Linked DNA regions of Canis lupus familiaris. The protein of the gene in region 3 purifies or fractionates together with the protein of the main gene of each other region. This does not show direct contact. Links are inferred from orthologs where the notes say so. Each region holds a gene or a part of one and is shown on either strand. Other genes may lie near its edges.

Evidence for each region. Proteins that work in one complex are often made in the same cells at the same time.
Region 1: the proteins of MED24 (region 3) and CDK19 purify together in Homo sapiens (affinity purification with mass spectrometry; 6 studies listed by BioGRID and IntAct, counting the BioPlex papers as one, with this or other methods). This does not show direct contact. The link is inferred for Canis lupus familiaris from reciprocal best matches to the Homo sapiens genes MED24 and CDK19.
Region 2: the proteins of MED24 (region 3) and MED9 purify together in Homo sapiens (affinity purification with mass spectrometry; 5 studies listed by BioGRID and IntAct, with this or other methods). This does not show direct contact. The link is inferred for Canis lupus familiaris from reciprocal best matches to the Homo sapiens genes MED24 and MED9.

Annotation. Positions count from the first base shown.
Region 1 is NC_049233.1:67,738,803-67,743,218, reverse strand, and holds the start of CDK19 (cyclin-dependent kinase 19), read left to right. Parts: upstream 1-1,338; 5' UTR 1,339-1,522; coding exon 1,523-1,650; intron 1,651-2,118; exon of another isoform or gene 2,119-2,287; intron 2,288-4,416.
Region 2 is NC_049226.1:42,191,806-42,196,163, reverse strand, and holds the start of MED9 (mediator of RNA polymerase II transcription subunit 9), read left to right. Parts: upstream 1-1,280; 5' UTR 1,281-1,349; coding exon 1,350-1,576; intron 1,577-4,358.
Region 3 is NC_049230.1:22,467,435-22,471,275, forward strand, and holds part of MED24 (mediator of RNA polymerase II transcription subunit 24), read left to right. Parts: intron 1-20; coding exon 21-103; intron 104-372; coding exon 373-459; intron 460-902; coding exon 903-1,014; intron 1,015-1,518; coding exon 1,519-1,661; intron 1,662-2,898; coding exon 2,899-2,936; intron 2,937-3,187; exon of another isoform or gene 3,188-3,291; intron 3,292-3,372; coding exon 3,373-3,455; intron 3,456-3,798; coding exon 3,799-3,841. UniProt on the Homo sapiens protein: Component of the Mediator complex, a coactivator involved in the regulated transcription of nearly all RNA polymerase II-dependent genes.

The sequences.
Region 1 (4,416 bases), on a different chromosome or scaffold from region 3:
TAAGAAATTTACTCTTGTAGTAAATCAATGATCTCCATCCCCCACTCCCAAGTTTTCCAGGTTTCTTCCCAAACCTAGCAGGTGGGCGGGGGGGGGGGGGGGAGGTGTCACTACTAACTTTCCTTACCACTTTAGATAAAGGGGACCAATTCTTCCTTTGTGCTCCCACTAAATGTGGTATATTATTCTTATCCTAGCACCAATCACGCATAAAATCGTATCCCAAGCATCCTAAGGACGCAGGAATTAAATGAATCCATATTCACCTTGATTAAGGACACTTTCTCAGACATCCTTGGAGAACGTCACCATTATGCACAGACCTTAAAAAAAAAAAAAAAACAAACATCTTTTACAATGCAAACCTGATGCCTGCTTTTAAGACGATGCATCCTCCTGGCACTTGAATTGTCCTTAGACAGATGGCCCAAAGCTTGGCTGTGGGAACCGCATATGGTGGGAGGAGACCATGACTCGAGCGCCAGGAAAAGGATGATTGGCTGCCGGGCCTCAGAAGTTCTCCGCAGACCGACGCCAGCCCTAGGAAACCGCTGAGGGTTCAGCTTTTGAAATACGGTTTTTGCATCGTAAAGAAAAAAGATGGACCTATCAGAACAACCGAGCACACCCAATTACCAATCAAGAGCGGGAAAGGAGCCAAAGCCCGGGGATACCCACGCACCGACGAGGACGTCATTCTCTAGTCTCAGCCAATGAGCGGCGGAGGGGGGCGGGGCAACGAGCGGACCAATCGCCACGAAAAACAAACCGTCTTGCAGCACAACTGCTCTAACCACAGTCCTCGCCTCTCTAACCGCCGGCGCAAACTCCTGAGCCGAGCACTTGTTACGTACTTTCCACTCTCCCTCTCGCCCGGGGGCAGTGATAGTGGAGTACCTTCCTCTACACCACAACAAGGGCCTTTTTTCCACCCGCTCCCCCACAGACTCGCAGAAAGAATTCGGCAACTTGAAGCTTCCCACCTTCACAGGAACTGGCAGTCCGGCGCTACCTGAGGGGGAGGGGCGGCCGCAGTGCGCAGGCGTGCCCGCCTCGCGGGGCGGGGCTGTGGCGGCCCAAAGCAGCCTGGGTGTTGTATTTCTTCTGCTGGCGAAACTCGGTTGCTGTTGGGGCCCTCCGGAACTACATTTCCCAGGAGCCCCCGCGACCTCGGGGTGGGCGGGATGGTTCGTTAATGAGCTCGAGGAAGCCGCGGCGCGGCCCACCAGGTTCCAAAACAAGGAAATGAAGGGGGGAGGCGGGACTGGGGCTGCCTGCGGGAGCCGCCGCCGCCGCCGCCGCCGAGGAGGAGGAGGAGGAGGTGGTGGTGGAGGAGGAGGTGGCTGCCGCGGCCGCCGAGGAGTCCCTTGCTGAAGGCGGACCGCGGGGCGGCGGGCGGCGCGCGCGCGCCCGAGAGGCGGCTGTTGGAGAAGTGGAGCGGCGGGCGCGGGGGGAGGAGGAGGAGGAGGGACTGAGCGGCGGCGGCCCCCGCGTCCCGGTGCCTCTATGGGGAAAGCAGACAATGGATTATGATTTCAAGGCGAAGCTGGCGGCGGAGCGGGAGCGGGTGGAGGATTTGTTTGAGTACGAAGGGTGCAAAGTGGGACGCGGCACCTACGGGCACGTCTACAAGGCGAGGCGGAAAGATGGGTAAGAGCAGGGGCGGGGGGAGCGGGCTCGCCCGGGTCCTCGCCCTGCCCGCGACCGCGCGGGGCGGCTGGGTCGGAGCCGGGGCGGGCCGCTCCCGGGGGGCGAGGCGGCGGGGGGCGCGGGGCCGCGCGTCCCGGCGCGGACTGGGGGGCGCGGGCGCTGCCCCCCCACCCTCCACCCTGCACCCTCCGCCCCGCGCGGCCCCGTCGCGCCCCGCGGACTCCCGCGGCGCAGCCCGGTCGGGGGGCGGCGGTCCCGTCCCCGAGGGCGCCCCCCGCGCGCCCCGGGCTGGCGGCGGGGACTCGAGGGGGCACCTCCGCGGAGGTGGAGTTGGCGGGGTCTGCTCTCGGGGGCGGGCGGGGGGCACGCGGGGCGCCGGGAGAGCTTCGTCGAGGAGTTGCCGCTCCGGCCCTGGGCCGGTGACGGTCGTGGCGGAACTTCCAATCGGCTGAGCGCCTCCCCGGGGGCGGCGGTTTGAAACCCAGCCGGGGAGCCGGCGGCGCGGCCGAGCGCTGGGGGCCCGGGCAGCCTCCCGGCTCTGGGCGCAGCCCCTGTCTACACCCGCCGACTTCGGGATCCATCCTCCCCCCGCCGATTCCGCCTTTGCACCTTGTGAATTCCGCGCCTCCCCTCCGAGGTGGGACCTCCCGGGAGACCCGCCGCGCTTTACCGGCGGAACTTCGCCTAGTTCCCTAACTCGTCCCCCCACCCCCCACCCCCCGCGACCTTGGGCATCCTGAGGTCCTCCGCACCCCGACCTGGGGCATCCTGAGGTCCTCCGCACCCCGACCTGGGGCATCCTGAGGTCCTCCCCACCCGGACCTGGGGCATCCTGAGGTCCTCCGCACCCCGACCTGGGGCATCTTGAGGTCCTCCGCACCCCGACCTGGGGCATCCTGAGGTCCTCCCCACCCGGACCTGGGGCATCCTGAGGTCCTCCGCACCCCGACCTGGGGCATCTTGAGGTCCTCCGCACCCCGACCTGGGGGCATCCTGAGGTCCTCCAGACCCGCACCTGGGGCATCCTGAGGTCCTCCACACCCCAATCTGGGGCATCCTGAGGTCCTCCCCTGCGCCCCCCTGGCCGAATGACTGCGCGCTGGGGGCTCCCGAGCACCTGGATGGGCCAGGACGGAAGGCGGGCCTGGATCTCTTGTTCTCCCGGGGAGTTGAGGGCGACCCGTGGTAACACCTCTTAGAAGCGTCCATGGATCGCCGTCTTAGGAGAAGGCGAGCTGGAGAAAGTATTGACAGCGCCTGTCCTTGGTCCTGTAGGGTAGCCGTGCGCGGGCTGCAGGGCCGGAGGCACCAGCTCCCCGCGGCGAGGAGGGTCGGGGTGAACCCTTGGCCTCCCCTCCGCCCACCCTGGCGGGGATCCTCCTCCCCCGGAGCCGGGAGCCCGGGGACGTCTCTCGAGCCCTCCCGCCTAGGTTCCCAAGGCTGTCAGAAACCACTCGGGGGAGAGAGTTTGTAGGCTCGTAACGGGACATCCCTGAGTGAAGGGAGGATCGGCCGCGGCGACGTTAGTGGGACTGGCGGCGCTGCGTCGCGTCCTGCGCACCTGCCTGTTGCCATCGCTGCAGCTGGTGTGGGGGGGCCAGGGCGGAGCAGGCGGGGCCGCGCGCCGGTGCCCGGGGAGCCCGCGGAGCCCGACCCTACACGCCGTTTCGCCCTAGAGCGTCGTGGCCTCACGAGGTGCTGCACACGTGCGGAGAGAGGATTGTGAGCCGCGTTTAGCTTTTGCCTTCTGAACTGGACGAGCCCCATGGCGTTCAGTTGTAGCTTAACTCATGGTTCTTGCAGTTACTTGCCAGGTGTCGTCCTTGAATTAATATCTTGGACTGTGAGGCACTATAATTAACTTGTATTTTGCTTCTGGAATATTAGCTCTGCTTGTTCTCCTGGTGTCCCTGTAAGGAATCTTAGCAGATATACTTGGGGAAGAGCACATCTAGTTTTCCTGGTTGGACACTGGCATTACAAAACAAATCCCACCTTGTGTGTTTTTCATACTCCTCGTGCTTACGTTGTGATACACTTGATCTGGAATTTCTAAGATGTATTTTCATTTTTGTTGTTAAAAATAGCTTCCTTTCAGTAGGTAACTTGTGAGAAAAATTGAGGATTCTGCTTTTGAATTGTATTTTTTGATAGCATGGGCCACAACCAAAAAACAGCTAAATTTAATTCCTGCTTCTCATTGTTCTTTTTTTTTTTTTAATATTTTTCCCCTCTAATAAAGTTCTTGATTCGACTACACTTTTCTTCTTGAGTGAAATTTGTTTGAGCAGAATTAATAAAGTTTCTCGAATAGAATAAGATCAGTTTGTGTATCTTCAAAATACGCTTTTTAAAGAAACTTTTAGGATCTGAAAGCATTAGTTGATATCACTGTATTGGTTATAAGAAAAGTCATTATAAAGGTAGGTTTTCTTGGGTCAAAGGTCTAGTTGAGATTTGAGGTTTTACAGTAAACACATCTCTTGTGGGTTGGTAGGATTAGTTTTATGTTCCGTGATACAAGCGATTTGAAAGAACAAAGTTTTTAGTGATGGTTCTAAGCTGTGATGCAGATTTGCATAGTAAAGGATTTTACACTCTGATCATGGTCCATTACAGGTTAGCTCTTGACAGAATTTATTTTGGTTAATTCAGAAAAAATGTATAAGGCTATCTTATGGAACAAGAAAAAAAATGACATGGTTCATTAAAGAGAAATTATTCTGTATATAACATAGTATTATGTAACCAAAAAATCATTCAGAT
Region 2 (4,358 bases), on a different chromosome or scaffold from region 3:
CCTGCTTTCCCCCCTGGGGGTACTCTAGGCAGTTCTTGCTGAAGAAAGCTGTGCTAAGGCCCATCACTAAAGAGCCTTTAGTGCTCCAAAGAGTTGGAGCACACTCTCCAACTCCTATTTCCTTCTACAGTCTGCCTTCCCTAGGGTCTGCCTCCATCAACCTTTCCTGATGCATCTGAAAATAGTAGCGTCAATGCTTTCCCTGGAATCAGCCCCCTTGCTCTTAAGTGCTCCAGCTCATCTTGCCACCTGAATATGGGCCTCCTTGCCTCTCTTTAAGACCCTTGATGGTAGACTTTGAAAGGTTGGGGCTTTCCTAGCTCATGTCCTCTCCCACTGACTAGCTGAGCTTAGGATGGGTGTCCCATTGCCCAGAAATCTATTATACAGCCCCCATATCACACTTGTTTTGAGAAATATAATTACATCACCACCATGTTTTTGACCTAGGATCCTGGGGACAAACCAGACCTTTGGAGGTCAGCCATGTACCTGAAGTTAGAAAACAATTTAGGCTTTGCTATGACCCTGGAGTAAGCATTTTACAGTTAAGGAAACAGACCTAGGAGCTCAAGGAACTGGCCTGCCCGTATGGAGAATACCCGAGGTGGACTTTCCTGTAGGATGCATTTATTCTTGGCACTAGTCAATCCCCTTCTGCCTTGTTTTGAAGTCAGGACAGCCTTCCTACCCACTACTTCACATTTAATACTGCATCTGCCATCCAGAAAATGCAATGTTGAATTATGAGTTCCTCCCTATCTAGGCTTGGGGAGCTTTTAGAGACTCACTTTACTTTGTCTCTGCCCCTTTGGGCTAACACAGTCTCACACTTCAGCTGGGTCAGGGTTTGCTGCCTGTCCTCCTGGAGGCATCTGCGAGGTGTAGGAGGTGTAGGCCCTCCATCTCTGGATTCTCAATGCCCGTAGGGCCCAATGCTTTACACAAAGCAGGAAGTTGTTTACTCTGCATGTGGTTCAAGGTGGTCGGGAGGCCTTCTCCGAGGGCGGGGCCCTGCGGAGTCATGCATCTCAGCTTTCCTGTACTAGTTGCTTTTGGACCCTTTTTGTCGTGTGAATAAGAATGTTATGTCTCAAATGGATCTGTTTCTGACTATTTAATAATCTAGCTGCCTCTACTTACAACCAAATCCGTCAATCGCCCGTTGCCTAGTAACATCAGCCACGCCCCCAGGATATTGCCCCGCCCACACCCTAGTACGCACGCGCACAACCTTTTTCCAGGGCCCGCCCACCGCGGGCGCAGAGCGGTGACGTCTGAGGTCCGCGACGCTTTTGAGAAGCTGACCGTTGGGGTCCTGCTGCCCGAGCGGCGCGGTTCCGAGCGCTATGGCCTCCGCCGGGGTGGCCGCCGGGCGACAGGCCGAGGATGCGTTACCGCCGCCGGCCGAGCCGTCGCTGCCCGAGACGAAGCCGCTGCCGCCTTCGCAGCCGCCGCCTCCGGTCGCCGTGCCTCAGCCGCAGCAGTCGCCGGCAACCAGGCCCCAGTCACCGGCCGGCGTGAAGGAGGAGGAGAATTACTCCTTTTTACCTTTGGTTCACAACATCATCAAATGGTAAGAGCCCAAGAGAGGACCAGCCACGACACGCCCTCCCGCTTCTCGTCTCGTGTTTCCGAGCGGCAAAGGCCTAGGTGCTCTCGGGCACAGCCCCATTTTACCGCTGGGGAAACAGAGCCAGGGGCAGGAGGCCTTTCCCACGACCACACCTGGTCACAGCGTCAGTTCGGCAAACGTTTGAACCCTGAGAGAGTTGCCAGACCTCACGATGGCCAGGCGATAGTCTTAAAAATGAAGGCTCTGCAGTCAGACGACTCAAGTTTGCATCTTAGTGACCTGGAGCAAGTCAAGCGTCTCTGAGCCTCGGTTTTCGCACCTGTAATAGAGGAGTAACACTTGGGTGTTGTCTTTTCAACACATCCAGCAGATATGGATCATCTTCCTTGTGTGGCACACTGCTAAGTCCGTGGAATGTACACAGTAAAGAGGGCCAACTTCTCCTCCCCCCTCCCCCAACATTGCTTATCAGTTTGAAGGAAAAAAAGACAGGGATGGAAATGACCCCTATTTCAGAGAGTTTGGAGGGTTGATGATAGTGAACTTAGAAGAAACAAAGATAGAAGTTGGCCCTGTAGGACTGTTCTTACATCGTGCCAAAAAGGGTGATTTTCATTTTTTTTTTTCCCAAGATTGATTTATTCATTTTAGAGAGCTTGAGCACAAGCGTTGGTGGAGCAGAGGGAGAGAGAATCTCATGCCCACTCCCTGCTGAGCAGGCAGGGCTGGATCCCTCCACCCTGAGATCATGACCTGAGCGGAAATCAAGAGTCCCACACTCAGCCAGCTGAGCTCCCCAGGCTGGCCGACTTGTCTTTCTTTTGGCCAGTCTTTAGATTATAGCCTGAATTTTCAAACTGACTCTGTAAAAGAAAAAAAGTAGTGCAGCCAAAAGGCTCCGTGATCCCCATGCTTTCCTAAATTATTTCTGCTGATACCTTATTTATATCCACATGATACAAGGGTAAACCAGGCTCATAACTTATTCAGCCATTAAAAACCAAAACAAAGTAAATGAAAGCAAAGTCACTGTTACTGTGACATTCAAGTGAGCATTAATGCGCTCTTGGGTGTCTTGCTGAAATGGACTTGCTACCTACAACATGAAAGTCTTGTTTGTTACTGGCCTAGCTTTTGAGCTTAGCCGGACTAGATTCACTTGCTGTGGGATGACCTCATGCTTCCACCCCTTTTTAAACAGCTGGAAAGCCTTTGTTCTCACATTAGACCCTGCCTTCATTTGGCTTCACTTGGTGTGAACATACCGTTTATAGGGTAAAACAGACTCTGTTCTGTTCTCATTAGCCTGTGATCATCAAGTGGCACTTCTAGGGAGCAGTGCGATGGCAAAAAAAAAAAAAAAAAAAAAAAAAAAAATCACACATGGAGACCCCCAAATCTCAGGGCAATGCTGGATTATAAGTGGGCCTTGTAATCTTATTAAAACATAACCTTTCTAGGCCTTATTTTCTTATCTCTCATACGTGAATAATAACAGTGGACCTGAAACATTTAAATTACAGCTTTATTGTGTAGGGCCTAGGTCATCTTGGTCAAATGACTTAGCTTCTCTGAGTCTCTTTGGCGAAATGGAATAACAGTACTTAAATTTTAAGATTGCTGTAAGGTATACTCAAGAGCAGCCTTCTGTGAAAGATGGCAGGTTGATCACATGTGTTTATCTCTATACTCTCTGAAAGGACAGTGAGGAGTGTTTTGTTTTTTTTTTAAGCATAAAACCAAAAAGAACAGCTGTTGTCACAAAGCAGATGGCTAAAGGCTAATCCATCTATGAGCCCTCAGAACCATCCAGACACAGCTGCCTTTGACCATGGCTTCTCCCCAAAGCTCAGGAATTGGCAGTGTCAGGGACTCCTGGAAATAGAGGTGAAAGTGAGACTAGAACAGGAGGATTACTTAAAGTCTGTGTAAGAATCAGATCCCATAGCCTTCTTCCCCACTCTAAGCAGATGGGGACTGCCCATCTTCCATCTTGGCAGACCAAGGATTACTCTCCCCCCAAAATTTATTTTTAAAAATAAGCCAGAGTGTCTCTGGACTGGGGAACACCAGGCACATGGCAGGAGTTGGAGAAAGGGAGCCATACTGAAAAGAGGGATTAAGAGAAACTTCACAAACTTAATACTGAGACCCAAACCTAGTCTTGGGTTGGCTTTTAGACTGGCAGCCAAAGAGACAGAGATACCTTCTCTGGGGTATCTCATCAGCCCAAAAGAAAGACTGGGAGCTCTCCAAGGAAGAACTTAGTTCATTTTAAGAAAGTGAAGAAGTATCACTAAGAGTTTCCACTAAGTCAGGGCACCTGGATGGCTCAGTTGGTTAAGTGTCTGACTCTTGGTTTCAGCTCAGGTCATGATCTCAGGCTTGTGAGATTGGGCTCCACAACTCAGCACGGAGTCTGCTTGGGATTTTCTCTCCCTCTCCCTCTGGCCGTGCCCTCACTCTCATTTTCTCTCAAATGAATAATAAAATCTTTAAAAAAAAAAAAAAAGAGTTTCCATTAAGCTTTTTAGTGTTTTATTCTTTTTTTTTCAATATTCTCCATTATTTCTTTATACTATGCTTTTTACTAAAAGAATATAATTATGTTTTCTGTGGGCATTCAGCTTCCCCCTCCACATCTGATCCAAGTCAAAGTAATCTACATTTTCTTTATCATAGGATCACATCTTTTTCTTCTTTGATTTAGTATGGTGAAAGCAGTAAATTATACACATAATCCAAATAGTATTTTACTCTTAACCTTATGACTTGGCATCCA
Region 3 (3,841 bases):
CAGCTTCTGGCTCTTTGTAGGACTTTACCGAGGATGTCAGTTGTGCTTTTGAGTTCCTGCTGAAGCTCACACCCTTGCTGGACAAAGCTGACCAGCGCTGCAAGTACGAACTCCCCTAGCTCACCCCTGCTCTACCTTCTAGAAGGTGTTCTGGCTCTTCCCCAGCTCCTTTGTGCCAGGCCAATCTCAGGGGACTGTCACCTGGTTCGTACCCCTGAGCAGGGGCAGGAGGCCCCAGCCCCGTAGTTGCTGGGTGCCAGAGCCCATCTGCCATCCTGAAGGAGGGAGGAAACGAGGCAGAGGCCTACTGTCCCCATCCCTCAGTCATCCCTGCTGTGTGCCCAGGCCCCTCATGATCTTTTTCCCTCACAGCTGTGACTGTACAAAATTCCTCCTCCAAGAATGTAGCAAGCAGGGGCTTCTGTCCGAAGCCAGTGTGACCAACCTTCTGGCCAAGCGGTAAGCATGAGTTCCCCCCGGCCTGGCTGACGTGCCACTTGCCCCCCTTTCCTCCTGTCCAGGCTGGACTGCTGGGTGCCTCTCCCCTTCCCGTGCAGGTGCCTGGGGCCATGCCTAGGCTTACCAGGAGTGGCAGACACGGGTTTCTGTGCACTAGGCTTCTGCACCCTTGGGTGCTGCACTTGAATTCTCACCCTCTGTGAACACAATAAAAATCCTAAATCTTCCTTTAATCTCAAGTGAACTTTCAGAGTTGAGGTAATGATCAGTGACAAACTGAAGCAGTCACACCAGTGGACATGCATGCATGAACATCACCCCAACCGCAGAGGTTTTTCTATGCTCCCCACCTTCTCTGGGCCTCTGCTTCTGGCGCTGGACCAGGGAGCACATCAGGAACTTCTTTCTTTTCCCTTCTCTTGGCCAATGGCTTATGGCCACAGCGCAGCAGACCGGGAACATGCACCCCAGCTGAAATCAGGAGAAAATGCCAACATCCAGCCCAATCCTGGGCTGATCCTCCGGGCAGAACCCACTGTCACAAATATCCTCAAGGTGAGTATGCCCTTCCCTTGTCTCCAGGGTCATCTCTTCCTGTTTTCCACTTTTGCCTCTGCTTCCAGATAAAGGAAATTGAGGCTGTAGACCTCTTTGTCTTCTGGCTTTTATATGTAGTTACTTTGGAAGTAGAGAAGCAGGCAAGGCAGGGAAGCTGCCAATGAAAACTAGCATTTGTTGGGCACTGCTTGGAAGATAGGCACTGTGGTAGATGCTTCCACCTGCTCCTGCAGAAGCAGTGGGGACTCTCACACACACACACACCCACACCCCTACCGCCATGATCCCAGTTTAGTTGAGAGGAATGGATCAGAGAGCAGATGGATTTGGGGAGTGATTTTCCAGATTGGAGTCAGAAAGATATAGGTTGGATTTCAGGCTGTGGTATGCCACTTGATGGAGACGTGCAGAGCAGGAAGCTCTGGTTGATTAGGCTGTATCTGGTGGTCGTGGGAGGTCTTTGGGTTTTCTTCAGGACTTGATTTCCTGTTGTGTCCCTAGACGATGGATGCAGACCACTCCAAGTCCCCAGAGGGGCTGCTAGGAGTCCTGGGCCACATGCTCTCTGGGAAGAGTCTGGATCTTCTGCTGGCCGCCGCTGCTGCCACTGGGAAGCTTAAATCCTTTGCCCGGAAATTCATCAAGTAAGGAATGGTGAGCCCCTAACCGAGTTGGGAAGGCGTGTCCAAAGGAAGAGGTAGCAGAGTAGGGGCAAGACCCCAGGGTCTAGGTCTCCCTGGAGATGCCTAGGGCAAGCCAGAGCATCCCAGTTGAAGACACTGAGCGAAGGGCCAGGTCTCTGGATGTCAAGTGCTCTTTTCTCTGCTGCTGAGCATGAAGTAGAGGTGTTTGATGAGATGAGAGGCACTAAATGGTGGAGTGAAGGGATTCGGGTGCGCCCAGTTGTTACTAAGGGGCTCTCAAACACTGTTGACTCTTTGGTTGACATGGAATTTGATACATAGAACTTTGTTCCATCCGGTGAGCTGTTCTCTGGGCCTTGGATTTTTTTTTTCTTAAGATTTTTATTTTTAAAGATTTTGTTTGACACAGAGCATGCGTGCACCTGCATAAGCAGGTAGAGGGAGAAGCAGGCTTCCTGTTGAGGGGGTAGCCCAATGCGGGGCTCGATCCTGGGACCATGGGATCATGACCTGCGCTCAAGGCAGATGCTCAACCATTGAACCACCCAGGTGCCCCAAGATTTTTATTTATTTTTATTATTTTTTTTATTTTTAAAGATTTATTTATTCATGAGAAACACACACAGAGAGAGAGGCAGAGACATAGGCAGAGGGAGAAGCAGGCTCCATGCAGGGACCCCAACATGGGACTCGATCCTGGGTCTCCAGGATCACGCCCTGAGCTGAAGACGGCGCTAAACCGCTGAGCCACCGGGCTGCCCAAGATTTTTATTTTTTTTATTTTTTTATTTTTTTTTAATTTTTATTTATTCATGATAGGCACACAGTGAGAGAGAGAGAGGCAGAGACACAGGCAGAGGGAGAAGCAGGCTCCATGCACCGGGAGCCTGACGTGGGATTCGATCCTGGATCTCCAGGATCGCGCCCTGGGCCAAAGGCAGGCGCCAAACCGCTGCGCCACCCAGGGATCCCAAGATTTTTATTTTTAAATGATCTCTACATCTGTTTTGGAACTCAAACTCAAAGCCCTGAGATCAAGAGTTACATGCTCTAATGATCAATCCAGCCAGGCATGCTGCCTTGGAAATCTTTTAAAAACAAAGAGTTCTTTTTGTAGTGGTAGTGTTCATTTTAAGTTTCACCCTTAATTCAGACTTTAGTGACTGCCTTTCTGGACAGGCGTAGCCCCCTGAACCCTTGCCCTGCTTGCTGTGACCTATCTCTGTTCCTCCCCCAGTTTGAATGAATTCACGACACATGGCAATGAAGAACTCGGTAAGTCAGCTCTGTGCCCCCCGGACCCAGCACTGTGGAAGGGTCGGGGGAGAGAACAGGGGAGGACAGAGGGCCCGTTGCTCCTCCTGGGGAGGCTCTTTTCTCCCCTGAGCAATGACTGACTGAAGCTTTTGGGGAGCCTTGAAAGGGGAATGCTGGGCAAAGAATTCTTCCAAAACCACCTCTGTCTATTGCCCTCCCTCTTTATGATTTGGTTGGGTGCTGGGAAGGAGGAGGGTATCAGGAGTCTTGGATTCCAAGGAAGGGATGATGTTCCAATTGAGACTCAAGAAAAGGATTCTGAGCCTCAGAGCTTTGAAGGAGCCACTTGATCACTGACCTTCCTTGAGGCAAATCCTGACCCCCCCCTTCCGATCCAGACGAGGGTTCTGGGCCCTGCTCAAGGCTGTGGAGTCAGGCTTTTTGTTCCCCGTAGCCAAAGCAGCCTCAGTTCGAGCCTTGCTCTTCGACATCTCCTTCCTCATGTTGTGCCACGTGGCCCAGACCTATGGTTCAGAGGTGAGTGAGAGGAGAGCAGTCAAGATTAGGGGCACCAAGTGGGCAGGGAGAGGGGGAAGGAAATGACCAGTAACTTGGCCGCCCCTCCCCACCCCGCAAGCTACTTAGTTCTGCTGGGTGCAGAATGAAGGTGCCCCTGGGCCCATAGACGCCCCCTTTGGTTACTCCGGAATCCTTCAGTGCCACACCCACACCCACCACTAGGTGGCAGCATAGCCCCTGTCTTTCTCCCTGAGACCAGTGCATCTTTAGTTCTTCAGGCTGGAAAGAAGCAGCAGTGGGGCAGGAAACTGAGGCACAGAGCACTGGCTGCTGACCCTCCCTCCCTCCCTTCCTTCCCTAGGTGATTCTGTCCGAGTCAAGCACAGGAGCACAGGTGCCCTTCT